Oryctolagus cuniculus: one gene and its partners. The protein of the gene in region 5 interacts with the protein of the main gene of each other region in a pairwise test. Links are inferred from orthologs where the notes say so. Each region holds a gene or a part of one and is shown on either strand. Other genes may lie near its edges.

Evidence for each region.
Region 1: the proteins of TNIK (region 5) and PAFAH1B1 interact in a two-hybrid assay, tested with the Homo sapiens proteins (2 studies listed by BioGRID and IntAct). The link is inferred for Oryctolagus cuniculus from reciprocal best matches to the Homo sapiens genes TNIK and PAFAH1B1.
Region 2: the proteins of TNIK (region 5) and HARS1 interact in a two-hybrid assay, tested with the Homo sapiens proteins (2 studies listed by BioGRID and IntAct). The link is inferred for Oryctolagus cuniculus from reciprocal best matches to the Homo sapiens genes TNIK and HARS1.
Region 3: the proteins of TNIK (region 5) and SPTBN1 interact in a two-hybrid assay, tested with the Homo sapiens proteins (2 studies listed by BioGRID and IntAct). The link is inferred for Oryctolagus cuniculus from reciprocal best matches to the Homo sapiens genes TNIK and SPTBN1.
Region 4: the proteins of TNIK (region 5) and SRGAP3 interact in a two-hybrid assay, tested with the Homo sapiens proteins (2 studies listed by BioGRID and IntAct). The link is inferred for Oryctolagus cuniculus from reciprocal best matches to the Homo sapiens genes TNIK and SRGAP3.
Region 6: the proteins of TNIK (region 5) and SMARCE1 interact in a two-hybrid assay, tested with the Homo sapiens proteins (2 studies listed by BioGRID and IntAct). The link is inferred for Oryctolagus cuniculus from reciprocal best matches to the Homo sapiens genes TNIK and SMARCE1.
Region 7: the proteins of TNIK (region 5) and AGTPBP1 interact in a two-hybrid assay, tested with the Homo sapiens proteins (2 studies listed by BioGRID and IntAct). The link is inferred for Oryctolagus cuniculus from reciprocal best matches to the Homo sapiens genes TNIK and AGTPBP1.

What each region holds. Positions count from the first base shown.
Region 1 is NC_091448.1:48,125,360-48,128,859, reverse strand, and holds part of PAFAH1B1 (platelet-activating factor acetylhydrolase IB subunit beta), read right to left. Parts: intron 385-3,500; coding exon 300-384; intron 86-299; coding exon 11-85; intron 1-10. UniProt on the Homo sapiens protein: Regulatory subunit (beta subunit) of the cytosolic type I platelet-activating factor (PAF) acetylhydrolase (PAF-AH (I)), an enzyme that catalyzes the hydrolyze of the acetyl group at the sn-2 position of PAF and its analogs and participates in PAF inactivation.
Region 2 is NC_091437.1:28,312,302-28,315,801, reverse strand, and holds part of HARS1 (histidine--tRNA ligase, cytoplasmic), read left to right. Parts: intron 1-2,363; coding exon 2,364-2,483; intron 2,484-3,500. UniProt on the Homo sapiens protein: Catalyzes the ATP-dependent ligation of histidine to the 3'-end of its cognate tRNA, via the formation of an aminoacyl-adenylate intermediate (His-AMP). Plays a role in axon guidance.
Region 3 is NC_091433.1:148,185,219-148,189,361, reverse strand, and holds the start of SPTBN1 (spectrin beta chain, non-erythrocytic 1), read left to right. Parts: upstream 1-1,343; 5' UTR 1,344-1,484; intron 1,485-2,025; exon of another isoform or gene 2,026-2,139; intron 2,140-2,582; exon of another isoform or gene 2,583-3,039; intron 3,040-4,143. UniProt on the Homo sapiens protein: Fodrin, which seems to be involved in secretion, interacts with calmodulin in a calcium-dependent manner and is thus candidate for the calcium-dependent movement of the cytoskeleton at the membrane.
Region 4 is NC_091441.1:117,330,229-117,334,421, forward strand, and holds the start of SRGAP3 (SLIT-ROBO Rho GTPase-activating protein 3), read left to right. Parts: upstream 1-1,393; 5' UTR 1,394-2,139; coding exon 2,140-2,206; intron 2,207-4,193. UniProt on the Homo sapiens protein: GTPase-activating protein for RAC1 and perhaps Cdc42, but not for RhoA small GTPase. May attenuate RAC1 signaling in neurons.
Region 5 is NC_091435.1:109,213,870-109,217,369, forward strand, and holds part of TNIK (TRAF2 and NCK-interacting protein kinase), read left to right. Parts: intron 1-813; coding exon 814-925; intron 926-1,128; coding exon 1,129-1,215; intron 1,216-1,724; coding exon 1,725-1,895; intron 1,896-2,351; coding exon 2,352-2,495; intron 2,496-3,500. UniProt on the Homo sapiens protein: Serine/threonine kinase that acts as an essential activator of the Wnt signaling pathway. Recruited to promoters of Wnt target genes and required to activate their expression. May act by phosphorylating TCF4/TCF7L2.
Region 6 is NC_091448.1:21,886,080-21,890,091, reverse strand, and holds the start of SMARCE1 (SWI/SNF-related matrix-associated actin-dependent regulator of chromatin subfamily E member 1), read right to left. Parts: upstream 2,801-4,012; 5' UTR 2,662-2,800; intron 966-2,661; 5' UTR 921-965; coding exon 914-920; intron 740-913; coding exon 696-739; intron 1-695. UniProt on the Homo sapiens protein: Involved in transcriptional activation and repression of select genes by chromatin remodeling (alteration of DNA-nucleosome topology).
Region 7 is NC_091432.1:136,379,261-136,382,760, reverse strand, and holds part of AGTPBP1 (cytosolic carboxypeptidase 1), read left to right. Parts: intron 1-714; coding exon 715-844; intron 845-1,848; coding exon 1,849-1,980; intron 1,981-3,500. UniProt on the Homo sapiens protein: Metallocarboxypeptidase that mediates protein deglutamylation of tubulin and non-tubulin target proteins.

The DNA of each region.
Region 1 (3,500 bases), on a different chromosome or scaffold from region 5:
ACTTAGTTACCTTCTTTTGTAATCTAATAACAGATGTCCATTTTTTTTCCAAAAGACCAGCATACTTCTTATCTAATTCTTCATTCTAAAGAAAAATAAGAGAACTTTAAAAAATTAAAATATGATGGTTCAAGCCAGACATCATTTAGCTGTGAGCCCAAAATTAATGAAAAACATTATACACCAAAAAGGAGTAAAAACAAAGTTAAATGAAAAGTAAATCACATTAATAACAAATTGACTATACTGATGTTTGAATAAAATCTACTCACTGAATAACTACAAAAAGTACAACATACCATATCTAGTTCAGCTTCCTTTTTAAAAACGGAATATGCCTCTTCATAGCCATTTGAACGAAGATAATCTGCTATAGCTCGATTTCTGAAAGAAAACAATTTTAAATGACTCCTAAAAACTTCTCATTTTTATATTGAAGAAATAACATTTTACTTAAAATCTCGTTAACCTGAATTAAATCTTCAGTTGAAAACTATACCCTCCAAATCATACAAGTAGCCGGATTTCATAAAAAAAGGACCTCGTTACCTGTACGACACTCAGCCCACTATAATACACCCATAATACTACATTATTCTTAAGCTTTACCTCACAAGCTGTGAACACTCTACAGACCAAGATATCGCTTATGTAATAGATATCAACCTGTGATACTATTCATCAATTTAGCTTCTTACTCCTTGTTACTCACTCAAGGGCTTGCAGCTGGAAGTTAGTTTTGCAGAGAAATGCTCGATAAAGTTCTAAGTATTTTTATATTAGAATCACCTTAATCCAGAGTGAGTGAAAACAAAGCATGAGCTCTAAACAGTGCACTATCACAGCAAGAGACAGTCCCTAAGAATTAGGACTCGGCGGTTAGAAAAGCTGAAAGAGCAATGCCTTTTCCTGATTGTCTCTGTCTCAGTCCTCTCAGTGAAGGGAAAATCAGCTACCTCCCTAACAACCTATTTCAGTTTTGTTACTCATTTTTTGGGGGCCTTAAGTCTTACTGTAATAGATAGTTTTATCTGGGATTTCCTTTAAAATATATATTTTTTAGAATATTTATTTGAAGGTTAGAGTTACAAAGAGAGACAGAGAAAGGTCTTTTATCTACTAGCTCACACTCTCCAGATGGCTGCAATGACAGGGACTGGGCCAGGCCATAGCCAGGGGCTTCCTCAGTTCTCCCCTACAGGTGTATAGGGCCCAAGGACCTGGGCCACCCTCTGCTGCTTCCCCAGGTGCATTAACAAGGAGCTGGATTGGATTTAGAGCAGGGATGCTGGCACCGCAGGCTATGGCTTAACCCACTGCACCACAGTGCTGGTCAGAGAAAATGGTTCAAAATCGAAAGCACTAAGGTGAAGGACTTTTACCTGCAAACAGATCCCTAGACTGAGCTTGGATTTAGTGTGAAATAACCACACTGGCAATACTCCAACTGTTTTACTTAAAACTATTTTAACAATAACAAATAAAATCCTTTGCTTTCTAATATAATCAAAAGTTCATGAAAATGCCAGGATTCGATTTTAAGCAGTTTAGCTGACTTCCACACTTTCACTGTTCTTCCCCCTTCCCCCCAGAATAACTTCAGCAGTTGTAATATCAGTCATAGCATCCTACCACTATATCCGTAAAATTTTAAAGTTACTCTGAATGCTATCACTGACAAATTTTTAGGGATGCAGAGATCACAAAGCGTGCAGTAGGAGACAGAGGTGGCAGCTGTTTATCCCAGGTAAAGAAACACAGAGGTTTTGACTAGCAAGTGATGGAGCTGGGAATGAGAACTTTCAAAGCCAAAATGATTGCAACAGTTTTTCATATGTACTGTAGAATCTTAAAAGTAGAAAATAAATGTTCTGGCAGTTCTATAATTCTCCTAACTAATTGTTTAAATAAGATAATATGGTTAAAGGCTGACAAACAGATCTTTTCTTAGTTGATCCATTAAGAGATAGAGTGAAAGGCTGATCTTGCATATTCAAGATTTAGGACACTGCATGTTCTAAAAGGCTGCAATGCAGTGGCCCAATGAATCATCAAGGCTAAGCGGGTGCTGTGAAGATAACAAAAAGACCAGGCAGAATTAAGCATGTAGGCGTACACCGCTAGGGGCATGCCAGGAGTCACCATTAGTGCCTTTCACCAAAAAATAACCCTTGCATCACCCCAGGCTATGCCCTTTCAGACAAACATCAAGATGAAACTACATGGAAGGTGGGTGGAGCTGTTTGGTGCAGCAGTGGAATGTCACTTGGATACCTATATCCTGTATCAGAGTGCCTGGGTCTGTGTCCTATTCTGGCTTTCTGCTGATGTACACTGGGGGGGTGGGCAGCAGATAATGGCTTGGATAGTAGGAGTTCTGTCACCCATATAGGGGACCAACATTGAGTTCAAAGTTCCTGGCTTCAGCCTGGCCCAGCCCTGGCAGTTGCAGGCATTTGGGGAGTGAGCCAGTGGATGGAGGAGCTGTATCTGTCTCTCAAATAAATAAAAATTGATTAAATAAAACAAGATTGGACATGAATTGATAATTTTTTTTAACAAAGCTAAATAGTGCTGGGGGAAGATGTGAATAAAGCCTATTTCAAGGGCAGAGACATAGAGATGATCATTCTGTAACCTGCTGCCACAGGACATCAACTAAATGTCAGGACAGGTAATGTAATTTCTTTTTTCTTTTCTTATTATTTGGCAGGTAGAATTATAGAAAGAGAGAGAGAGAGAGAGAGAGAGAGAGAGGTCTTCCTTCCGTTGGTTTACTCCCCAAATGGCTGTCACAGCCGGCACTGGGCCGATCCAAAGCCAGGAGCTTCCTCCCGGTCTCCCATGCGGGTACAGGGGCCCAAACACTTGGGCCATCCTCCACTGCCCTCCCAGGCCACAGCAGAGAGCTGGACTGGAAGATGAGCAACCGGGACTTGAAAAGGCACCCATATGGGATGCTGGCACCACAGGCAGAGGATTAACTGAGTAAACCACAGCGCCGGCCCCAGGTAATGTAATTTCTTAAGTATGTTACAGTAGCCCACAGAGTCTTTGGGGAAAGGGCAGCAAAGATATGTTGAGTTCCTCTCTGCAGGTTTGGTTCCCGCCCCCCCCCCCAGAAAAACTTTATTCATCACACAGATTAAAAAATAATTCCCATCCCCTAGAAATGAGCTTTAAAAAAAAACCCACAAAAATATTTCTCCCACCTCCCCGTTCCCACTGCATCCCATTACTTCCAAATAAAAGGCAAAGGAGAAAAAAATAGAAAACCAAAAAAACACACTCTCTTCCCCTCCACCCCAAACAAAATACTGCAATTCCCCAAGGGAAAAGAGGAATTTACAATGGAACAGCTGGGAGCAGAATGGAGATCCTCGGGCTACAGAATCCTGCAGACAGACACTCAAAACAGAAAAACAAACACAAAAGGACAAAAAAAAATACACCACCAGGCAATCTGGAGGGACAGGGAGCTGGAAAAAGAAGGGTGGGGC
Region 2 (3,500 bases), on a different chromosome or scaffold from region 5:
GGTCAGGCTGAAGCCAGGAAGCTGCAACTCCATCTGGTCTCCCATGTGGGTGGCTGGGGCCCAAGTGTTTGGGCCATCTTCTGCTGCTTTCCCACGCACATTGTGGGGTTGGATCAAAAGTGGAGCAGCCAGGACTTGAACGAGTACCCATATGGGATGCTGGCATGCAGGTTGTGGCTTAACCTACTATGCCACAATGCTGACCCCGCTGCCTCCACATCTAATCCAGCTTCCTGCTAATGTGGCAGCAGATGATGGCCCAAGTCCTCGAATTTCTGCCATGTCTCTGGAAGACCTGGATCAAGTTAGTGGCTCCTGACTTTTACATGGCCCAGCCCTGGCTGTTACGGGTATTTGGAAAGTAAACCAGTGCAAGGAAGATCTCTCTCTCTCTCTCTCTCTCTCTCTCTCTCTCTCTCTGCCTGCCTGTCAAATAAATAAAACCTAAAAGATAGGGAGAGGGAGGTAGAGGAGGAATGAAGGAAGAAAGAAACTAGTACTAGTTGAATTTTTGGTGTAGTTCCATACACCAGTTTAGCTGAAAAGTTTATAAAATGCTCCTCCTTTTATAAAAACCTATGTGTATAAGGCTAGATTTTCTTCACATACTTCAAACAACATCGCAATAGATTGAATATAAAAAGCATATTTGACAATCCAGACATTATAGCTTTGCAGAGATGTAAATCAGTGCCATTCTTCTCACTAAATCTTTTTGTTTTGGGAAAATGGTTGCATTTTCCAAAAGTATCATTTATGTTAATCTGTAATGGATTTATTATTTGCTAAAAGAGCTAGTAAATGTCCTTACATTTTTGCAGTTTTAATTTCTAATACAGCAAATACTGATAAGTATAATCCCCTTTGGGAACCTTAATAAATAGCAAGAGTGGGACGAGGGCCTGAGACCAAAAGGTGCTGGAGTAAGTGGTAAAAGCCCTGAGTAGAAACTGATCTGGAAGGAGAACAGAGTTCTAGTCCTGACTGCCACGCGCTTGCTGAGTGGCCTTAAGTAATGCCTGGCTTCTCAGTGTCCTGTAATCCAGCCACAGAATCCTTCTGCCTAAGCTGTCGCGGAAAAGTTAACGTCCTGGAAGAGTTCTTGCAGACAGCACCACAGTTCCTTTGTCTGGTGCTCTGGTAACGCACCGGTGTAAAACCAAATAAATAGAAGAATAAATAGAGTGAGAAAAAAAAAACAAATAAATAGAAGAATAAGTTATGAGTGAGAAAAGAGAGAATTGGGTACCTAATTGCTTCCATGTCAGATAAACTGTAAATTGCTCCTGACTGTAGTAATGCTTTTAATAAAAAGCTCCAGCCGTTGCGGCCATTTGGAGAGAGTAAACTAGCGGATGGAAGACCTCTCTCTCCCCCTCCCTCCCTCCCTCCCTCTCACTGTCTGTAACTCTGCCTCTCAAATAAATACATAAAATCTTTTTTAAAAGGGGGGGTGTGGGCTGTGATATTCAGAGGGGAAAAAAAACTCTGCCCATGCCTTAAGGCTGTTGTCAGAAGCAAATTAGAGAACAAATAGTACTATTAATTAGGATTCAAAAGAATAGTCATGTCGAGAGAAAAGCGCTTGTAGAGTTTAAAATTCAACTAGCTGACTGAGTTTGAATTGGTTATGTTCTTGTTATCAGGCAGGTATTTATTTGTGTTAGGCAGGGAAATACTCTATTATTCCCAGAAAGAGTTTTTAGAAAAATTCCTTGGAGGCCGGCACCGCAGCTCAACAGGCTAATCCTTTGCCTAGCGGCGCCGGCACACCAGGTTCTAGTCCGGGTCGGGGCGCCGGATTCTGTCCCGGTTGCCCCTCTTCCAGGCCAGCTCTCTGCTGTGGCCAGGGAGTGAAGTGGAGGATGGCCCAAGTGCTTGGGCCCTGCACCCCATGGGAGACCAGGAGAAGTACCTGGCTCCTGCCATCAGATCAGCGCGGTGCGCCGGCCACGGCGGCCATTGGAGGGTGAACCAACAGCAAAGGAAGACCTTTCTCTCTGTCTCTCTCTCTCACTATCCACTCTGCCTGTCAAAAAAAAAAAAAAAAAAGAAAAAAAAGAAAGAAAGAAAGAAAAGAAAAGAAAAAAGAAAAATTCCTTGGAGAAAAGAGTTCTGAGAATTCTAGAAACTAGAACCAAGTTGAAAAGGAAATGGAATCTGGGAGGCTGACAGCAAATGGGTGTGGGCTTAATAGGGAATTAGCTGTACCCATTTTACAGCCCAGCAGCCTGTAGGAAGATCTAAGTTTGGGGAAGGATTTGCTTTTCTCGTTCTTGAAGTCATCCTTTTATATTTCTATAACTTACTCATGTTTGTTTTTCAATCTCATCCCTGGTTCCTTGGCTGTTTTTAACTCAAAGGGCACAAGAGACTACAGTCCCCGGCAGATGGCAGTCCGGGAGAAGGTGTTTGATGTCATCATCCGCTGCTTCAAGCGCCACGGTGCAGAAGTCATTGATACGCCTGTGTTTGAACTAAAGGTGAGACATTTAAGGAGAAACTGCATGGTGGAAGAGTGGACATACAAATAACAAAGAGGATGAGAAGAGAGAGGGCCTAAAGACCCTGCTGCTGTTGTGGACACAGGCCTTCTCCAATGAGGAAGAGTTCAGCAGTGGCACGGAGCAGCCTTTTATTTGTCTTGGTTGTGTCCATGGCTTCCAAGAGAGCCCTGATGAGGAGTGGAGGTTATTCTAGCTCCTTTCCCCTGCATTTTAATGAAGATATTTTCTAGATGCATGCATTCCATATGTATATGCAACCAGTCTTCTATTGGTAGACCTTGACATTGGTTCTAGTTTTTTACTGTTTTTACTGTTACTGGCCTAGCAGTTAAGATGCACACGTCCCATATCAGAGAGCCTAAGTTCACGCCCTGCCTCCAGCTCCTCACTCCAGCTTCCTGCAAATGCTTCCTGACAGTGATTTGTACAGTGATGGTGCAAACAATTGGGTCCCTACCACCCACGTGGGAGACCTGGATTGAGTTCCCAGCTTTAGACTAGTTCAGCCCAGGGCCATTGTGGGCATTTGGAACCAGTAAATAGGGAGTGCTTTCTCTCTCCCTCACTCACTCCCACCCTCTACCCGTAAGTTAATAAGAATTTTCAAAACAAATTTCACCACTCCCTGCTTAAAGCTCAGTGATTTCCGTTATACTTAAAATACCCAAACTCTTGGGGTCCGGCGCCGTGGCTCACTTGGTTAATCCTCTGCTTGCGACGCCGGCATCCCATATGAGCGCCAGGTTCTAGTCCTGGTTGTTCCTCTTCCAGTCCAGCTCTCTGCTGTGGCCTGGGAGGGCAGTGGAGGATGGCCCGGTGCTTGGACCCCTGCACCCGCATGGGAGACTAGGTATGGGGAACCTGGCCCCTGGCTTCGGATCGGTGTAGCTCCGGCTGCGGCAGCCATTTGGGGGGTGAACCAACAGAGGGAGGACCTTTCTGTCTCTTCTCTGTGGCTCTGCCTGTCAAATAAATAAATAAAAAATCTTAAAA
Region 3 (4,143 bases), on a different chromosome or scaffold from region 5:
CTGTTTAGCCTTATTTGTAAATATCAACCCATCAGGCAGGGTTCTGTTGATCTGAGAGAGGCATGGTCCAAACCATGGAACCCTCTCACATTCTGTTCTTGGGTTATCGGGGTGGGGCGGAGGGAGAGCCCTGGCGTTCGTCAACCCACTTGGAAACCCACGGTGGGCACCTTACAGAGCAGTCAGGATGTCACTTTCCCCAGACCGTGTTTTCTACAGAGCGTTTTATCCGTGGTCACGGTGATGCCACCATCTTTTCTACTCCGATAGCAGCGGTTCCAGAATTCCTAACGTAGCCTTGAGGCTGATGGGGTGTGACAGCCCGTGGGGGCAGGGGCGCTGGCCCTTGACAGACACTCGGGGAAACGTCTCCGAGAACACGGACGGGAGCAGTGCCAGTCCTCGAACCGACGGAGGTCGCCCACCGGCGCCAGGGCGACCCTACCGAGAGCAGCCCCAAAGGGAAGTGCACCTGGCTTCAGGTTGCAGGAGAGCCTGCGCGCCGGCGGCAGAGGCAGGAGTCGGGCCAACCACTTGTGGGCTGTGCTACTAAGGCAGGTGACAAAGCACTGGCAGAGGAGGACCCCATCATCCTCGCCCAGAAACTCCTCTCCCTCCCGCAAAGCTCAAGGGTTCCCACCGAGATGTCGCCGCCATCCTGTAAGCCGGGCGAACCCAAAAGGCGTCGCCACCCAAATCCAGGAGCTGCTGAGCCAACGCAGGTCCCAGACCTGCCTAAACACGCCGTCCCGGATCGTGTCCTAAACGCACACAGCGCGGGCGCAAAGAGGTTGCACGAGTCACGAGAAAATTAGGCTGCCCCTTTCCATGGCGATAATCGAATTAGCCTCAAATTAAACGTGAAATTGGCCCTCGCACGCTGTGGGGACAAAGCCCTCATTGTCCTTCCGCGCGGGTAGCAGCGGCAAGCCGTGCCCACCCCGTCCTGGCTGGTCCCCGCCGCCGGGACCCGGAAAAACCTCGGCTTGCGTGCGTGGACGCGCCTGGCGGTCGGCTCCCGCACAGAGCAGGCGCCGGGTGGGCGGCGGCGGGGCTGCGGACCGGAGCCGCGGGCAGGCGAAAGGGAGGATCCACGCGAGCGAGGGAGGCGGCGGAGAGGCGGGTGCAGGGCGTGCGGGAGAGCGCGCGCGTGCGCGCCCGCGCCTGTGCCCGCGCTCCCTCTCCCCGCCCCTCGCCCCCTCCCTGCCAGCTCCCTCCTCCCCCCGCCCCCCGCGCTCCCGCCCAGCCCCCGGAATCAGTGCAGCTGTTGCCTTGCAGGCTGCGGATTCCTCCAGTCCCTCCCTCGGCCGCCTCTCCTCCCGGAGCGAGCGCGCAGACCCGCGCCGTAGCGCCCACCGGTCCCGTCCTGTGAGCCCCGGCCCCAGCCGCGGACAGCCCCGCGGAGTCGCCTCCCGGCCCACCCGCCCGGCCGCCGAGGAGCGGGAGGAGGACGGGACCCCGGCGCCCCCACCCCATCCCTGGAGGTAGGTAGAGGCCCCCAGGCAAGAAGATGCCAACTCACTGGGGCTGCCTCTCGGGCGGGCGGGAGGAGGGGCGCGGGCCCTGGGCCGGAGGACGCCGCTGCCCTGCGCCCCGGGAGCGGCGTGGGGGCGGGGAGCCTGCAGAGTCCGGGCGGGGGCGACGCGGGGAGCTTGGGTCTCCGGTGCTCGTCGGTGCTAGGGTGATGCGGGGCGGGGGGCGGCGAGCTCCGCAGTGAGGCGGCCACACACACCCGTGCTCGCTCCCCACCTCCCGGTCCGCAGCGCCGATCCCTCCTCGCCGCCGCCGCCGCTCCCTCCCTCCCTCTCTCCCTCCGGCGGGGCGCCGCAGCCCCTGGCCCGGGGCTGGTGCGGGATTTTCTGGTGGCCTCGGGCCGGGCGGGTGGGGAGCGGGGGCGGCGCTGACAGGGCCCGGCTGCGCGCGTAACGGTACCGGCGATGCGGCCAGGCGTGGTCCGGGCTGCGCCGCGCTGCAGCTGAGCCGGAGGCGGCTGCCGGCGTCCTCCCTCGCGCCCCCTCCTCCAGCCCGCCGCCCCCTCCGCGCCCGCCCCCGCTCCCCCAGGGCTGGGCGGGAGCCTCCTCGGGGCGCGGAGCCGCCGCCGCGCCCGCCCTGCAGCTCCTGCCACCCTGCCTTCAACAGGTTTGTACCGGCGCGGGGACCCTCTGGCCTGCCCTGCGAGGTGGGCTGGACGCCCCTCTCGTCGTCACCCCCACACCACGCCCGCGGCCTGCTTTTTTTTTTTTTTTCCGGGGGGGGGAGCCTCCCTTTGTTTTTGTGGGAGGAAAGGTGCCAGGTGCTGCTATCAGATGGGGGGAGGAGCGGGGATCGGTACACCAAGCATTGTCCGTAATTTTTCTCATCCAAAGCCTGGCCAGCTAGAGAGAGAGGAGAGGGCGAGCGTGGGCAGGGGGGGAAATGGGTTCGGTGGGGTTTGTTTGGGCGGGGATGTTCCTTTTTGGCAAGATGGATGGCTCGCGTCTCTCGCCGTGATGCAGCACAATGCTGCAGTATCGCAGCTTCCCCGGGTCTCGCCGGCGGGGCTTGGCACGGCCACTCGGCGCCTGCGGCCCCCGCCCGGCCCCACCCAGGGCCCGGGCTGCCCTTGGCGGGGCCCGCGGCGCTTCTACCTCGTCATGCTGCCTCAGCTGCACGCTGAGGCGTCGGGAGGACCAGGCCACCTAGACAGGAGGGGGGGACAGTCCGCTCGGTCGGGATGACCCCCTCCCGCCCTGCCCGTTGGGCTGTGCGGGGACGGAGGGGTGCCCTGCAGCACTAATGCAGGCTGAGGGTTGCGGACCGGAATCTGATCTCCGACCAGCGGCGCCCTAGGGAGGGGCTGCAGGCAGGACAGGGCCCAGGGATGTTCGAGGACGCTGGTGCAGCTGGTGTGGGAGTCGCAGCGTCTTCCTGTGGATCGTCGATAACCTCTAACCGCAGCCCAGCTAGACATCGATTTCTTCGTATGGGAAAAGTTGCTGTTTATTAATCGGACCTGCACAGCTATGACATGACGTTTTACAATGCCCTCATCTGTCTTTGGTCGGTACAAACAGAATATGAATTTTTCCTATAGGAAACCATTTTTATAAAATGAGATGGTTAATGTATTGTGGTTCTTATGCTCCAGAGACATAAAAAAAATACTGGCGTTCAGATTCAGGGAGTCGTTTGAAAATGAATTTATGTATTTTCTGATGGGTAGTAAATGATTCCTTTAACCTGTGTTTGTTTTCACCGTTTGCGTTTTCTTTAAGTCAGATACAACTAAGCTAGTTGGATTCCTTATTAAGGAACATTAGGTAGATGAGTGATGGTAAATTGGTGTTCAGATGTCTTGATTCAGATAGCCAAGTTCAATCTCCAGGCGTGACTAATGGGATTGCGATGGTAATGGGCTGCGTTTATGTTTGTTTATATGTTTTTGGTGCATGTGTATTTTTTAGCAGATGCGACTGGGGAGGGCTCAGGAAGGGGAGGCCACCAAGGTCAGCAGATGATTCCCAGTGTTCTCTTCTGTTCCGCTGCAGCTAGTGCTCAGGGCACTTCCCCTCTACATGCCATTTTTATAATCCAGTTGTTCAGTGTGGGATTTGGCAAGTGGCATATATTGCAAATGTCAGCTCAGACTCTTCTGAGTCTGTGTGTGTGAAAAGGGAAATTTCAGACTGCTAACTGGAAGGGGAGGTCTGTGTTTCAGAGCCAAGGGTGTGCCTGCTTTTATTTATTTTTTTTTAAACTCTAATGAATCCAAGTTAATGTCCTAATGTGACTCTGCGGAGTACACATTCCTGTAAATGCATGCGCTGTATGTGCATTATTTTGAGTTTCTTTAATGGAGGGCCATTTGAAATATAGGGCTTTTTGGATTCAGGCTTCCTCATTATGCTGATTGTGAAAAATGGTACTGCATGAAGACTTCTGCGAGTATTGTTCACAAGGGTTATCCAGACGTTTTGGATTTACTATGTTGTAAGAAATATCCTGTGTTGATGTCACAGGAGGTTTAGCTGTTCTGACTTACACACCAGGTGCAGAATTCTGTTGGGTTAAGCTCTTTGTAACTCTGCCGTCCCTGGAGTGACCGACCAGACCTTCATCTGAGGGGCTGGGAAGCACAGGGACAGTGGAGGAGCCGCTGTCACT
Region 4 (4,193 bases), on a different chromosome or scaffold from region 5:
CTTCCTATATCTACTCCTCCACCCCTTCCTCTGTAAAAGACCAATGCTTACATCTGTGGTGGGCACAAACTCCTTGTCCCCAAGGAGTTTGGCGGGGGATATAACTGGAGACGCAGAATTGCTGTCATTTATTGAGTGCTTACTCCGTGCTGGCTGCAGCTTAGCTTTGAGGTCTTGCCTTTGAAAAAATGATTCATTTATTTATTTTTATTTATTTGAAAGAGAGATAGAGATATCTTCCATCTGTTGGTTCACTTCCCAAATGGCTGCAACAGCCAGGGCAGGGCCAGGCTAAAGCTAGGAGCTGGGAACTCCATCGGGGTCTCCCACGTGTGTTCCAGGGGCCCATTGAGTTGGGCCAGCTTCTGCTGCTTTCTCAGGTGCGTTAGCAAGGGGCCGGATTGGAAGCAGAGCAGCCAGGATTCAAACCAGTGCTCGGATATGGAGTGCCGGCGCTGCGGGCAGCAGCTGAGCTCGCTGTGCCAGGACACAGGCTCCAGCTTTGCATTCTTCCTTGATGTTTCCAAGAGTTCCCCTCCTCCTGAATGGCCCCCACCAGGCAATATTCTTTCCCCACAACACTTAGCCTTCCCTACCCTATTATATAATTGACTCATTATGTTGATTTCTCGTCTTCCCTTCCCAGGGCCTCTAGCTTGGTACAGCTCCAGGGGCACCATTCACAGCATGCTGTGCTCCAGGGCTGCTTTTGCTGAGAATAGTCTGTGAATGGTGGTGGCTCCCAGAGCTGTGTGATTCGCAGGCCCTGGAGTTCCAGGATTGTGTGTGTGTGTGTATTTTGATTTTCGTATTCCTGTGCCCACTGTGGTGCTGCACGTAGACTCAGCTTTTGGGAGACAATTGCTGGAAGCATAAGTGGAAGAGTCCCTGCCCCTCACCCCCTAGAGCCCATTTTACTGCTGAGGAAAATGGGGCTCAACAAGTCAGGAATTTGTCTAAAACCCCACAAGCCACTGGCCCAGGTCCTGCTTGCATATCTGGTCTCACAGGCTTTGCGAAGCTGTGTGTCTGGAACTCTGGGCATTGTCCCTGCCACCAAGTAATTGCTCAACAAACAGCAGTGCCCTTGGCCACGTGGGTCAGGCCCTCCCCTCAACCCCAGACCGAGCACACGCCATCTATGGAGAGGCTGCGTGCAGTTGCACACAGCAAAGAAAAGGGGGATCTTTTGTTTTAGAAAGAAAAATCCCTGACCCAGTGGCTGGCGGCTGGAATCTGCGGGAGGCTCCCAGGCCTTTCCAGCCCTGTTCGTTTTCCTGCTGTCTTTCCTTTTGTGAGTGCTTCTTCCCCTTTCTGCTTGCAGTGAGTTCTGCTCTCCTGTAGGCTACAATGTGTCAGTTGTTATAAAATCCGGGAGGCGGAGCCTAGTGACGAGGCGAGGCGGTGGGGGAGAGCTCGCTGCTGCCGGCCCTGCAGGACGAGCAGTCGGCCCAGGGGTTCGCGGAGCTTCGGCGTTGCAGTGCGAAAACTTCCAGCTTGCTCTGCTGGCTTTGATCCTCGCTGGACATCAGATCCGAGGCGCCGAAGGGAGGGAGGATGCGAGATGACCGGCCCTCTGGCAACCTGACCATCTCCTTAGCCTTGGAGAGCGAGCCGGGAGCTGACTGCACGACCCAGGAGGCGCCCCGCCTCTCCGTGGATGTGTGTGAGTGAGCGAGCGGGTGTACTGTGTGCATGTGAGGGTGTGTGTGTGTGAGTGTGGATGTGTGTGTGCACACTACAACTGTGTGTAAGCGTGTCTGGGTGAGTGTGCGCATGCACGCATGAGTGTGTATGTGTGTGTGTGTTTGTGTGTGAGTACTCTTGGTTATTATTATTTTTTTTTTGGAAGAAAATTCTTGAAAATCTGGGGCAGGTTACCATGCTCCTAGGGTGGGTCTTCTGCAAGAGGAGCTGACCAGAGCAAGCTGCTGGAGCCATTTCTCTGCAAGAAAAGAGAATTTTCCTCCCTGAAGGAGAAGGATTTGGGCCCCTGCTCTGCAGCTCAGTGGAAGAGATTAGCCCCTAAACCTGTGAAATCGACCAGAGCAGTGTGATTACCGTAGCCGGAGAGAGGACTTGGGAAGAAAAGGAGAAAGAAAGCCAACAGCCTGCCAGTGCCTTCAGCCGCGTCGGAAGATGTCATCTCAAACTAAGTTCAAGAAAGACAAAGAGATCATCGCTGAATACGAGGCTCAAATAAAAGGTAAGCTGTGGGCTGGGAGTTTCCCCTCCTCCCCTCTCGCTCGGCCCCGGCCCCGGCCCCGGCTCTGCCCTGCTCTCCTCCCTGCCATCACGCAATGCCGCTGTGCATCAATAATCTTATTGTGCAGAGGAACGGCCGCGGCCACACAAGTCCAGGCTGGTTTCAGCTGCGGGGAGCTCGGGCTGGAGTGTGGATCAGAACACGGGCAGCGTTCTCTGCATTGCAGGTGTGCGAGGAGGATCCTACGCCTGACTTGGGGAGTGTCGCGGGCACTCCATCATCTTGGCAGTGACATGTCACTCTCAGGCCATTTTGACAGTCTTCCCCATCAGGGCAGAAGCCCCTTAGGACTGCTGTGTGTTGCCCCGATCTGCTCCCCCCGCCCCTGCTGTGGTTTTTGTTGGTGGTGGTGGTTTTGTGCCTGCCTCTCCCTCCGGCTGGAATTCACATGCATGTGCACAGGCAGGCGGTGGCATCCTTGGGCGGCACTTCTTTGTCGGTGTCTCTCGCTGGCCTGGATGGCCATGGATTAACGGTTATGGGGCTTATTGATCCAGGCTAATGCAGGCATTTAGGCGTAAAGAGGAAGCTCAGTGCAGAGAATGTGTTCCCTCTTGCTGTGCCGCCCAATGGCTGCGTGCACCAGCGTTTAGTGTCAGCAGCTTTCGTTCAAAGCCAGCACCTCAGTGTGCCGTTTGGGCTGGTAGGCGCTGCCCGGCTTCCTGGATCCCGGGGAAGCCTGCCGAGAGGGTGGGATGACCGCTGGCTGCGAGCTCCAGCTCTGGTGCCACTGGAGACAGACTTCTGGGGAAGCCGCTCCCTGGATCCCTGTGAACCAGGAGGGCGCTTCAGGGAAGGACACGACCGCAGAGCTAAAGGCAGCTGGGGTGGGGGAGTCTTCGTTGGAGCAGACGGGGGTCTTCGCTCACCCGCCACGGCCTTGGTTCAGCCTGGGCTCAATCTGCCCTGCTTACCCTTTCTCCAAGGGTGTGCCCCAAGGGAAGCCTGGGCCCCTGCCCCTCGGTGTCCGTCTTCTTCCTGACTGTGACGCTCCTTGCTGCGACACAGGGTGTGCTGTGGTCTCTGAAGGAAAGAGGGCATGCAGAGTCGTCCCCGGTGGCCATCGGGGCCCATGTTTGCCGTTACCATTTGACCGCCGAGCACCTTGGCTTACCTGGGGCTTGAGCCATTTGAGGTGGCCACACCTGCTCCCAGTGCCCCTGGCAGGGGGGCAGCCTTCCCAGGCTTCTCAGTTGCTCTGCACGCTTCAGACGCTGGGGAACTTTGGGAGGGCAGCGGCCACCAGGGCAGGGCTCTGTTTTTCTTACCCTGGTCTCGCCCACAGTCTTTGGCCTTTTAGTTCTGGTGAAGCCAGCATGCCAGTGACCACCAGGCAGACCCTGGCCTTTAAGAGCAGAGAGCCCTGCCTTCCCTGGTCTCCTCCTCCTCGGCTTGCAGCGCAGGGGCGAGCACAGGGGCTTGCCAGGTTTCAGCCTTGCTGACAGTCCAGAAGCAAGCCCTTGACCGGTGAACGCGCTCGGCCTCTCCCTACAGAAGCAGAGCCTGAGAACACACACTTGGCCGCGAGTGTGTGCCTTATCAAGCTCATCTGGCCGGTGGTGTTTTTAAGGAGGGGCTGGGGACGGAGAAGTGGGGTTCTGGCCAGTCTGGGTTTTGGGAGCCGGGTAGGAGCGGGTGCGTCTTGTGTCTGGAGGGCTGCGGCTGTTGGGCCTGTGAACTTTACTCGGAATCAGCTAAGCACCGATGCCTCCGGCGGATTCTTTTACTCTTTACCTTTCACCTTTTTAAACAACCGATCAGTACGTAACCAGGTAAGGAATTTCGTCAGGAAATTTGTCTATGCAATCTCATCTCTAACATTCTCGAAATTTCTCTGCATTCTGGTCAAGGGAATTCAATTTCATTTCTGTGGAGTTGGCACCTGCGAGACGCGGGTCCAGCGACTGCGCTGCCCCAGATCCTCTGG
Region 5 (3,500 bases):
TTCCAGGACAGTGACAGAAACCTCAGGTTTTAGCAATTTCAAGGTCAACAGTTGAGGTTCATATTTATATGAATTTTGTCGAACTATGTTTTACTTGAATAAAAGGAGGTTTAAATGATTTGCTTATGAAAAATAAAAACAAATAGATGGGTTCTTAGCATATTCAAATTCCTGGACTCCAGGTAGTGTGAGAAGGGAGAAGTGAGGTGTCTTTCCTGTAAAGAACAGACACAGGAGCCAGCGCCACGGCTCACTAGGCTAATCCTCCGCCTTGTGGCGCCGGCACACTGGATTCTAGTCCCGGTCGGGGTGCCGGATTCTGTCCCGGTTGCCCCTCTTCCAGGCCAGCTCTCTGCTGTGGCCAGGGGGTGCAGTGGAGGATGGCCCAAGTACTTGGGCCCTGCACCCCGTGGGAGACCAGGATAAGCACCTGGCTCCTGCCTTCGGATCAGCGCGGTGCGCCGGCTGCAGCGCGCTGGCCACGGCGGCCATTGGAGGGCGAACCAACAGCAAAAGGAAGACCTTTCTCTCTGTCTCTCTCTCTCACTGTCCACTCTGTCTGTCAAAAAAAAAAAAAATTTAAAAATAAAAAAATTAAAAAAAAGAAATTAAAAAAAGAACAGACACAGGAGAAGCTATAGAGTAACCATTACCAGGAGGAGCTGGAGAGGTGCCCACAATGATTGGGGGGTTGGTGCGTGAACAGTGGAACAGACCTTGTGATCTGTTGAAAGCCCAGCAAATATTGTTACGTTGTCTGTTCCTGCAGTATTCATTTATCTGCTCTGTTTGGTCTTCCTGTTTATTGACTAGTATGGCATGGGGAGCAGCACCAAAGCCTCCTTCACCCCCTTCGTGGACCCCCGAGTATACCAGACCTCTCCCACCGATGAAGACGAAGAGGATGAGGAATCGTCAGCTGCAGGTAGGCAGAAGGCCCCAGTGTTTTAGAAACAGCTTGATTTCTTTCTGACAAAGCTCAATATAGAAATTAGTCATCAGTTCAATAATTAAGCCATTTACTGCTTGGTCCTGGTCTTAAAAAGGAAGATTTTGTGGTTATTTTTATAGAATTCCTAAAACAAAATTTTTGTTTCCTTTTTTTTTTTGTTTGTTTGCTGCTGGTAGGAAGCCAGAGGTATCCAGGAACCCTAGGAAAAGTTGTTCCTCAGAGACCTGTGAACTTACCACCTATTTCCCAAAAACAGTTTCTGGGTATAATTCTATGCACGCAGTAGACACCTAATACTAAGTGCGTGTTGAGTTGTGCTGAGTTTAAGGTGTGTGCTTCCCACCGTGAAAAGTCTGGCAGATTTTAGAGGATGGGCTTGCTTTCTAGACTTCTGCAACTAACTAATCATCAAAGTTATCTCAGGCCAGTTTTTTAAGTGATGTTGAATTTCAAAAAGCAAGATTTCTTGCATATATTACAAGAGGTAGGGAAGGTGGATTTACTTTTTTGAGATTATTATCAGTTCTCTAAACATGCCAAGTAATGCTTATGTCTATAAGCCTGTCTTGCTAGTGGATAAAATACTGCTTCTACGAATGACTTATACTTCATGCTACTAAAAATAAGTGAAAAGTAAATGTAGTCTCAGAGTGTATGTGCCTTTATTATAACACGCACTAAACAGGAGAAATAGTGTTTTGAAGCCCCTGCTCCGTTTCTCCATTGGTTATCTTTAAGATACCACTGATTTCTCTGATTCTTTTTCTCAAAGCTCTGTTTACTAGTGAACTTCTTAGGCAAGAACAGGCCAAACTTAATGAAGCAAGAAAGATCTCAGTGGTAAATGTGAACCCAACCAACATCCGGCCTCATAGCGACACACCAGAAATCAGAAAATACAAGAAACGATTCAACTCAGAAATACTCTGTGCGGCTCTGTGGGGTACGTTGGTGCTTTATTTTCTCTTATTTTACTACTCATTAATGAGCTGACTCTCAAGCATGCAGAGCCTGTGGATCTCACCATCAGAGTGACACTGGTTGAAGGGGGAGTCTTAAGGAGAGTCAAGAAAGAGGCGATTGTTCCAGAAAAAGAACACGGGCATGGCTGTGCCTTAGGCTCCTTTTGACAAGGAGTCTCTATACAGGGTAGTAAACAGCTAGAGGCAATGAAGGCTGCTACTGCTTCATTTAAAAAAACCTTGTAATGTCATTACCAGAGGGACAGTGATATAATTACTGTGCAAGAACTTCTACTTCTACACTCCCTACTGTAGCACCTGCTCGCTCATTGATTTATATTTACAAGATACAGTTTTTTATGCTTTATTGGGACCACGGAGGCAGAAGGCTTAAAGCCCTTAAAAGTCAGTCTTGGGTTACTTCTTAAAATTTGCAGGTGTAAACCTTCTGGTGGGGACTGAAAATGGCCTGATGCTCTTGGACCGAAGTGGGCAAGGCAAAGTCTACAATCTGATCAACCGGAGGCGATTTCAGCAGATGGATGTGCTAGAGGGATTGAATGTCCTTGTGACAATATCAGGTATGTTACCAGGATCACCACATTCTCCAGGTTGGCATAGGTGGGCAAAGCAATCACCTTGTTTCCAAAGAAACAGGAAGCTCTTCCATTCCCAGTCAAAAAGCAACACAATAAATTATAGCAGTATAGCCAGAGTGAGAGCGCTGGAGTTTGACTTCCAAAGAGAGGTCTTACTTCTGCATTAAAGCTAAATTATGTAGAAATCTTTTACAAAGACTGTATATTTATAGGCATTTACTGTTGTCAGGATTTGGTAAGCATGACTCTACTCAGACATTGTTTCATAAGGAGGCAACACTGGGCTCCTGGGTTGAACTTTAAAGAAAGTTTAACTCCTTGAGGAGCTGTACTTCGGTTTGGAGAAAATGCCTTCACTTGATCCTATAATTCCTTTCTTATTTTTTTAAAGATTTATTTATTTATTTGAAAGGCAGAGTTACAGAGAGGCAGAGAGAGAGAGAGAGAGAGAGAGAGAGAGAGAGGTCTTCCATCTGCTGGTTCATTCCCCAAGTGGCCACAATGGCCAGAGCTGGGCCGATCCGAAGCCAGGAACCAGTAGCTTCTTCCAGGTCTCCCATATGGATGCAGGGGCCGAAGGACATGGACCATCCTCTACTGCTTTCCCAGGCCATAGCAGAGAGCTGGATTGGAAGTGGAGCAGCCTGAACTCAATACGGGATGCCAGCACTACAGGTGGCAGCCCCAATTCCCTTTTTCTTTTAACTTTCCACGGAATGCTTAGCATTTTCAGCTCTTTTTATCCACCCCAAATAAATTCTTTTTGCATTATTATTGGAGTTCAACTCTGTATAGTCCTGCCTTCTGGTTAATTGCTGTCTTGACTGTTATAATACCAAATCAAAATTACAGCCACCGATCTGTCAGTCACCTACCAAGAGTGTAAATACTACCACAAAATTCACAGTTAGTCTTGATTATGTTGTTCGTGCCGCTTCCCCCTTCTTAAGCGTGTAACCATTTCCATTTCCTCTTACCATGAGGCAC
Region 6 (4,012 bases), on a different chromosome or scaffold from region 5:
CATTTCAGGGAGGCCTAACAGTTGCTGTGGAATCTGTTTCATGGGTTGGGCAACTATTTTACATGCTGACCAAGCTGGGTCAGAGCTTGCTGGGTGAAGAAGCCGGTTCACCGCTATCAGGCAGATACTTTGAAACATTCTCAATTCCCAAGCCAATCAAATCTAATTACAGCGTGGAGTCAAATTTCATAGCAAAATCTGACCCACAGATAATGAAATCCTCACTTGAACAGCTTGAAAATAAAGATTTACAATGAGTGTAGTTATAGAAGTAGGAGCTTTGTTTGATTTAATATGGAAATTTTATATATAGAGACAAGAAAGGAGAGAAAAATGTAACCAGCTGAAGGTTAGGTTTAAAAAAAAAAAAGCCAGAATGAGCACTCACTCAATATCAACTTAAAGACTCTGAGAAAGAAGTGTTAAACTTGTTAACTATTTCCCATTAAGAAAAAAAAAAAATAAAACAAGTAAATTCAGCATAGGAGGTAGGAATTTCATAGTATGTTTCTTTAAATGTTGGGGCTGGTTCAAGATCAGAGGCAAAGAGTTATTTTATTTAGAAGGAAGTCTGTTTTTTAGCTGAATTTTCATCCTGTTACTGTGATGATTGAGTGACTGTCACTGGAAGACATCTGGGTTTTTGTATCAAGGCCAGACTCGGCTATTACATTAACAAGAAAATTAAAACTTACTGTTGCAGGAGCTGGGGTGGGAGGTGGGGCATAAGATGGTCTTTCTGTTTGAAAGAAAATAAATAACTTCTTGTAAACAACTGAGATATAATACTATGCAACAAAACTACCAATGGTCCTGTTTTGAAGAAAAAAATGAGAGTATTTTGGAATTCCCACTTGCTAGGGCATTAGTCTCTTATTAACATAGATTGATAAATATAAAAATTGAAACTTACTTGACATTTTGGAAGATTAAGTTCTCAGTTCCTTAAGAATGAATCTGAGACACTAAAATAAAAAAAAGGAAAAAAAGGAAAAAAAAAGAGAATCAAAACTCAGCAAGCATGAGAATGTTTCCCTAAAGAGGGCAGTTTGATTGGTACTTTTGAGTAAAACTACATTATCTCTCAGTACTCAAGCCTTGCGCGTATTTTACTAGTCCTTGTAGGTCATCTGGGTCATCAGAATTAAATGACTCGAGTAAGTTCCTGGGATATTTAAGTATCAGAAATATACTCTCAGGTTCTGTCCTAAGCTGCCCCACCTCTCGCACGGTGAACACTTGGTAATTGGGAAGGCAGTGGTCACACACTGTGCTGTGCCACCTGTCCACACCAACAAGGCCTGCTGGATGCTGCCAGCGCCCGGTCAGTTCCACCTGGCTTCTGGTCTAGCAACCTCTGTTCGAACAGGGCAGCTCTGTATTCCCGAAGGCAGCGGAAAAGGTAACAGGTATACTAAATGCGTTTCACATTCTTTTAAAGCGGCAGATAGCTTCGGACTCGCTGGAAATACATTGAATTCACTGTTCCCTCATCTGCACTCCCATGCAGAGCTAGGATACTGCTTACTGTAGCTTTTCAAAACATCTGCCAATATGGCTGGACTGGGTGCTGCTCTCGTCACCGTATCCCAGTCTCTAGTGCGATTCCTGATAGACGTTGTCCTAGGGTTCCCTGCTCACAGTAGGGCCAGAGCTTGTCCTTCACATCAACAGTCCCGAGGGGTTTAAAAAAAAAATCCGTGTTTTGGAAAGAAGACAAACTCCTATCCTGGAGCGCCTTCATCCAGCCTCACGGGAGATAAGCAGGAGCTACCTGCAGCACCAGGGTGCAGGTCGGAGCCCAGGGTGCTTTCCCCCTCTGCCTTTAAAGCCCGGCGGGAACCTCTGACTTTGTTGCAAATTTCCTTGCTGCTCAGCCGGCGAGCTGTCAGCATCCAGGAGGCCTTGCGGTGTGGAGCCCTGACGGGACAGCCAGCAGCTCCCTGCACTGGGCGCTTCACGCTAAGATACACTCACAGACACTGCTCGCCCCCGGCGGAACGCAGGCTCTCAGAGCGGGCCAGGGCCCCTGTGCACCCCCTGACGCCCTCCCTGCGGCCTGGCCCTACACAGACGCTCGGCAAGCATTTGTGGAATAAGGCAGGACAGGCTTAGGAGAGCAACCCTGCTGTCCCATTTTACAGATCAGAAAGGGGAGTCTTGCAGACTTCAAAGTAACTCTTCGAAACCACGCCGCTAGGAAGCGGCAGGAGCTGGGGTCCGCACCCAGGCCAAGTCCGCTCACGCCAAGCCGGCCCCGCGGGTCCTCGGGGCCAGGGCCCCGGGCCGGGGGTCCCTTCCGGGGCTGAGGGCCCTGGGCTCGCCTCGCCCCTCAGGGCTGCCTCGGAGGTCGCTTCCTCCACGCCTGCCGCGGGGGATGCACTTTACCAGTAATTCCCCCAAACCGGGGTATGCGTGGGCGCCCTGACCGGGTTCGGGGTGGCCGGAAGGGGCCATCCTGCCCCTGAGGAGGGCCCCCCGTGAGGACTCCCTCCCCACGCGCGCTCCGCTAGGCCTCAAGGAGGCCTCACCGGCTCTCGGCTCCGGCCCCGCAGCCAAGCCTGACCCCCAGCAACCCCCGGGGACCCGGGGTCCCGCCGAACGGAGGCACCGCGACCTGCCACCCTCCAGACCAGGTCGGACCCACTAGGAAACACTCACCCGCGGGCAGAAAAAGCGCCCGCAGCTCCGGCTTCGCTTCCCTTTGTCCCGCGCACGCCCCGCCCCTCACGTCCGGAGCTTCCGCGCTCGCACTTTCCACACTTTTTCTCAATTTCTTCTCAGGCCCCACCGACTGTCTTCGGAAAAAAAATAAACCCGCTCCCGAGGACGCGGCGACGCTTAGTACAGCCAAGGATTTTTTTCCAGGCCCCGTACGTTCCACAAAGCTCCTTGGATTTGGATGCTTTCCCAGTCGGGCGCCGATTCGTCACGGCGAGGAAGGCGGAGGTGGCCCGATCGCGATAGGCCCGGTTCCCGCGGCGGTGAGGGGTCCGAGCGGCGGCGGCGGCGGGAGGTGCCGAGCCCTGCCCGAGGGCGTGGTGGCGAGGCCCGCGGCCTCGGCTTCCGCGCGTGAGGCCGGGAGACGCAGGAGCCGCTGCAGGGGGAGGCCGCGCGCGCCTCGGGCTCCGGCCGCGGCCGCCCCCGCGGGACCCCCGGCGCCGGGTCTCCCGCTTCCCCTCGCGTCGCTGGGCGGCAGGACGAGTGTTCCCCGTGCTTCTCAGAGCGGACGACGCGGGCGCGGAGGACTCGGCCTGGAGGGAAGCAGCACGGGCTTTGGCTGGCCACAGGTTTCCGAGCGAGGGCCCTGGTGTGGCCTTGCAGCGCCGAGGGTGCCTGCTGCTGGGCTCTGCCCCAGATCCGCCTTCGCCGGCTGCGTAGACTCCTGTGCCGTTTGGGATGCAGCTCAGCCGTGCCCTCGGGAGGCCCTCTTGCAGTGCCCCCCCCCCCCCCCCCAACAATCCTTCCCTTGTACCCCCAGGCCTTTCCATCTGGCCCTTAGGAAGGTGTGTCAGCTTTGCAGTGCCGGTCACCGCTGAGGGTCTGGAGCCCAGCTCGATGCCCGTGACATGGGCACCGCGGCAGCCCTCTGGCCTGCTCCAGCCAGGGCCCTTACCCCCCAAGTCGTTGGGGCTCTTTGCTCACCGTCTGGAGTGAGTGGCCCCTTCCTGGGCTGTGAACACCCTTGGGTACTGTCGTAGGCCCCTGGTGGGAGAATGAACAAATGGACACCCCCCGAATGGTACTCACTTGGGCACGGGGTGGGCCTTATTCTTAGCCGCCCTTAGCGCCCCTCTGGGACGAGCCAGCAGGAACAGGGGCCTATGGGGGCGTCCCTGCAGAGCTGGGGACAGCTGATACCGGGGCTTCCCCTGCGAATAGGAGAGAGTGCAATTCAGGAGCCTAATGGGGGAGCGCCTGAAGGGAGAGGGGCTTGAGGGGCGGCTGTGGAATTGCTTTTCCAATATGAAAGCATTAAAGGATGGGAGGAAGACACGGGGGACGGCCTGGG
Region 7 (3,500 bases), on a different chromosome or scaffold from region 5:
TGAGCATTTCCAAAGAGAACAATACCACATCTTGTTTATTCAATAGAAGTAACATGAATGTTGCTCATTTTTTAGTGAATTACTGAATTTTTTAAAAAAGGAAGTATCTTTTTAGTTAATATGTATGTTACAGTTATGGAACTAATTTTATGTCTGTTTTTAATACAGAAACATATAAACCAGTCAGAATTCTATTTATATTTCTGTTTCTACCTGATGGTTTGCTTAAGTTTTTGCTTGGTGGCTTTAATATTTAATACCTGGAGATAAGTAAAATGTATTTGAATTTTTACAATAATGTGAATCCTGTTTATCTCATTATTCTTCTCAGAAAGAGGGCTCAGCACTCTTAGAAAACAACTAATGCAGTCAATATAAAGAATGTCGGCATAGCCAATGATTACGATGTAATCAGAATGGAAGATGTGACCATTAATCCATTTCATAAATGGAACAAAACCCCAGAATTGAGACCTTTTTATGTAGTTGGAAAACCTTGATTATAAACCACAGCTTAATGCATGCGACACAAGATCTTGCACGCAGCAAATAGTGGAGTAGCTGTGTACCTGATGAATATAGCATGTATTGGGTAGAGCCCACCACCTACACCTATTGGAAATAGTTAGTGGAATAAAATCATGAAGGGGTCAGAAGTATGTAGAAGATGTACTGTTAGCAGTGTTTTCCATCTCTGTGTTTCTGTGTGTGTAGTCACCGCTGTTCTTTAAGTGGAGAGGATTTAAACCGACAGTGGCAGAGTCCAAACCCAGATTTGCACCCGACAATCTACCACGCTAAAGGGCTGCTGCAGTACCTGGCCGCTGTGAAGCGTTTACCCCTGGTAGGTGGCAGTGTTTGTTCTTACTTAGTCTAATCCATGTTGTTTTTGTTGATCAGTAACTCAGTATTTTGTACGTATTTTCTGTTTAAATGATGTCAAAAGCAATTTACTTAAGATGTCTGTTTATTATCAATTTCTCGTGTAGTCACTTTGGTTTCAGATTAATATACTGTGTTTGTATTACGTTGTCAGGTTGCTTTTCTTTTTGGTCTATGAATGTTGATAATCCCTGGTTATGAATTTTGGGGGTTTAACTTCACTGTTGAACAGTACTAAGGCAATGGTGTATGTCTTCTAAATTCTCACTAGTGCAAACTTAGGAGTATTTCTGGATTCTTTTGTCAGCTCAGATACTGATGTCTCCAGTTCATACATGGGAAATGTGGTACAGGTGTGTTGTGAGACTGTCCTGAACTCTGTAAACAAACACACACACACACACACACGTATGTTCCTTGTGTTTTCAGCAGCCTTTCATTAGAATATTCTTTTATCAGTGTTTAAATTACTTCATCTTTCTTTGGGGAAGGTGGAAAAACTTTGCAGAATGGTAAAATTGACATGTGAGTCTGTCCTTTATTCTTCATTTTAAAAATGATGCTCTTAAAAATTGCATTGACACCATACCTCTTTTATGATACTTTTCATGAGAACATTTTTATATTCTTTTAAATTAATAAATGTTTTAGTAGTCTTGAGGCAGTGTTGCCTAGCTGTAGATTTGATTATTTTTTGAGTGATGGAAAGTAGATACAAAAGGTAGAGTGGGACTTGCTGCTTGATGTAGGATCTTCAAAGCATTTAGCAATTCTAGAATTAATTATAAATCCTTTCCAAAACTAGATGTCATTACTTTTATTGGTTCTACTTGTTAAGTAGTGGTTATGTTACAATAAAACGACGAAGGGACACAGACTTGTTCATTGGCGTGATATTACTTACCTTTCCTTAGCAGTATATGAATTTGAAACCTTGTTATTTTAAAAATCTGTTATTTTTTCAAGGTTTATTGTGATTATCATGGCCATTCCCGAAAGAAGAATGTGTTTATGTATGGCTGCAGCATCAAAGAGACAGTGTGGCACACCAACGAAAATGCCTCTTCATGTGATGTTGTGGAAGACATGGGATACAGGGTAATTATTACAGATGACTCAGGAGTTTTCCAGTTTCAAGCGTGTAAAACTACAGAAAGTGACTTAACATTCATGAACTACTCAGATTCGTTGATGTTGACACTTTGCCATTTATGTTTTAGATTTTTTTATTTTGAGGTTTTGCGATTTGTAGTTAGATTTTTCATCTATTTGGAATTTATTTTTGTGTGAAATGTGAGGGTGTAATTCTATTTTTCCCCTGGCTATCAGTTGTAGCCATACCATTTTCCCTAGAGTCTCTCCTGTGTTGATCTGCTGCAGCCATATGTTCCAGGCTCTCTGTACCTGCGGTCAGTCTTGGTTCTGTTTCTTTGGATACCATATCATTTTAGTGTTAAGTTAGTACCGATACCTGGTAGGGCGAATTTCTCTTTCTTGTTCTTTTAAAAAAATTACCGTGACTCTTTTATGCCTGTTATTCTTCTTTGTGAATTTTATGCCTGTCTGTGTAATTTAGTCTTTTATATTCTTCAGCAAAGATAGAAAATTTCTGCAGCCAGGTCTGCTGTCTTCATTAGTCTTATTCCCAAGTACTGTGCACGTTTTGCTCTCCTTGGAATCCTATCCACCTGCCCCCAGTTAAAACATCAGTGGAGCAAGCCTTCACAATTCTCAGATTTCCAACCTAAAAATTTCATACTCCATCCTGTGCATCCGTGTGAAAGTAAAAATGATGTCCTCAGACCTTGAAAATCTTAATAATTTACATCACAAATAGCCTTTTCCTGGAGTTACTGGAAGATAGTCTCACAAAAATAAAGGAGTATTCTGAAAACGAGGAAAGTGTGAGGAAACTAAATTGAAGAGAGAGGCCCAGGTCAGGGGTGAGAGGCAGCAGAAGAGAGTGGAATGCCAGCGTGTGGGCACAGCAGCCATGCCGCTGCCCTGCCTGCCGTCCGCGGCTCTGGAGCCCTGTGGTGTGAGGCCACGTTAAGTGAAGGAGACAGTAGGTTAGCAGAGCCCAGGACTAGTCACCAGTGAGGCGCGGAGGATGGCAGAGGGCGCACTTTCCCATGTGTTGGCCTCTAGGACACCACTGCCATCACCATCCTTCCTGCTTCTCTGTCAGCTTTCCCTCTGGGAGTTCCTACTTAGCCTCCAGAAATGAGCTTGCGGCACAGTCACGAGAGAGCAAATGTGTTTACCTTTGGTGTCCATTTTTCTTCATTTCTTTAATATTATCTTACATTTCAGGGTTGTTAAGGGGAATCTGTGTGTGTGTGTGTGTATGTGAGAGAGAGACAGAGACAGAGACAGAAAGACAGGGGCGGGGAGGGGGAAGAGTAGAGGGAGCATTTCCACAGAGTACCACAAGTATGGGAGCTTCAGCAATGTATTATGAACGTGCGGTTCTTTGGATCAGAAGTGTAAGCTAAAATCAAGGTGTGAGCAGGACTGCATAGTCTTTGGAGGCCCTAGGGGAGAACCATTTCTGTTTTTCCTCCTCCACGTGGAGAGGCTGCCTGTGTTCTTTGTGTCATGGAATCAAATGACCTCTA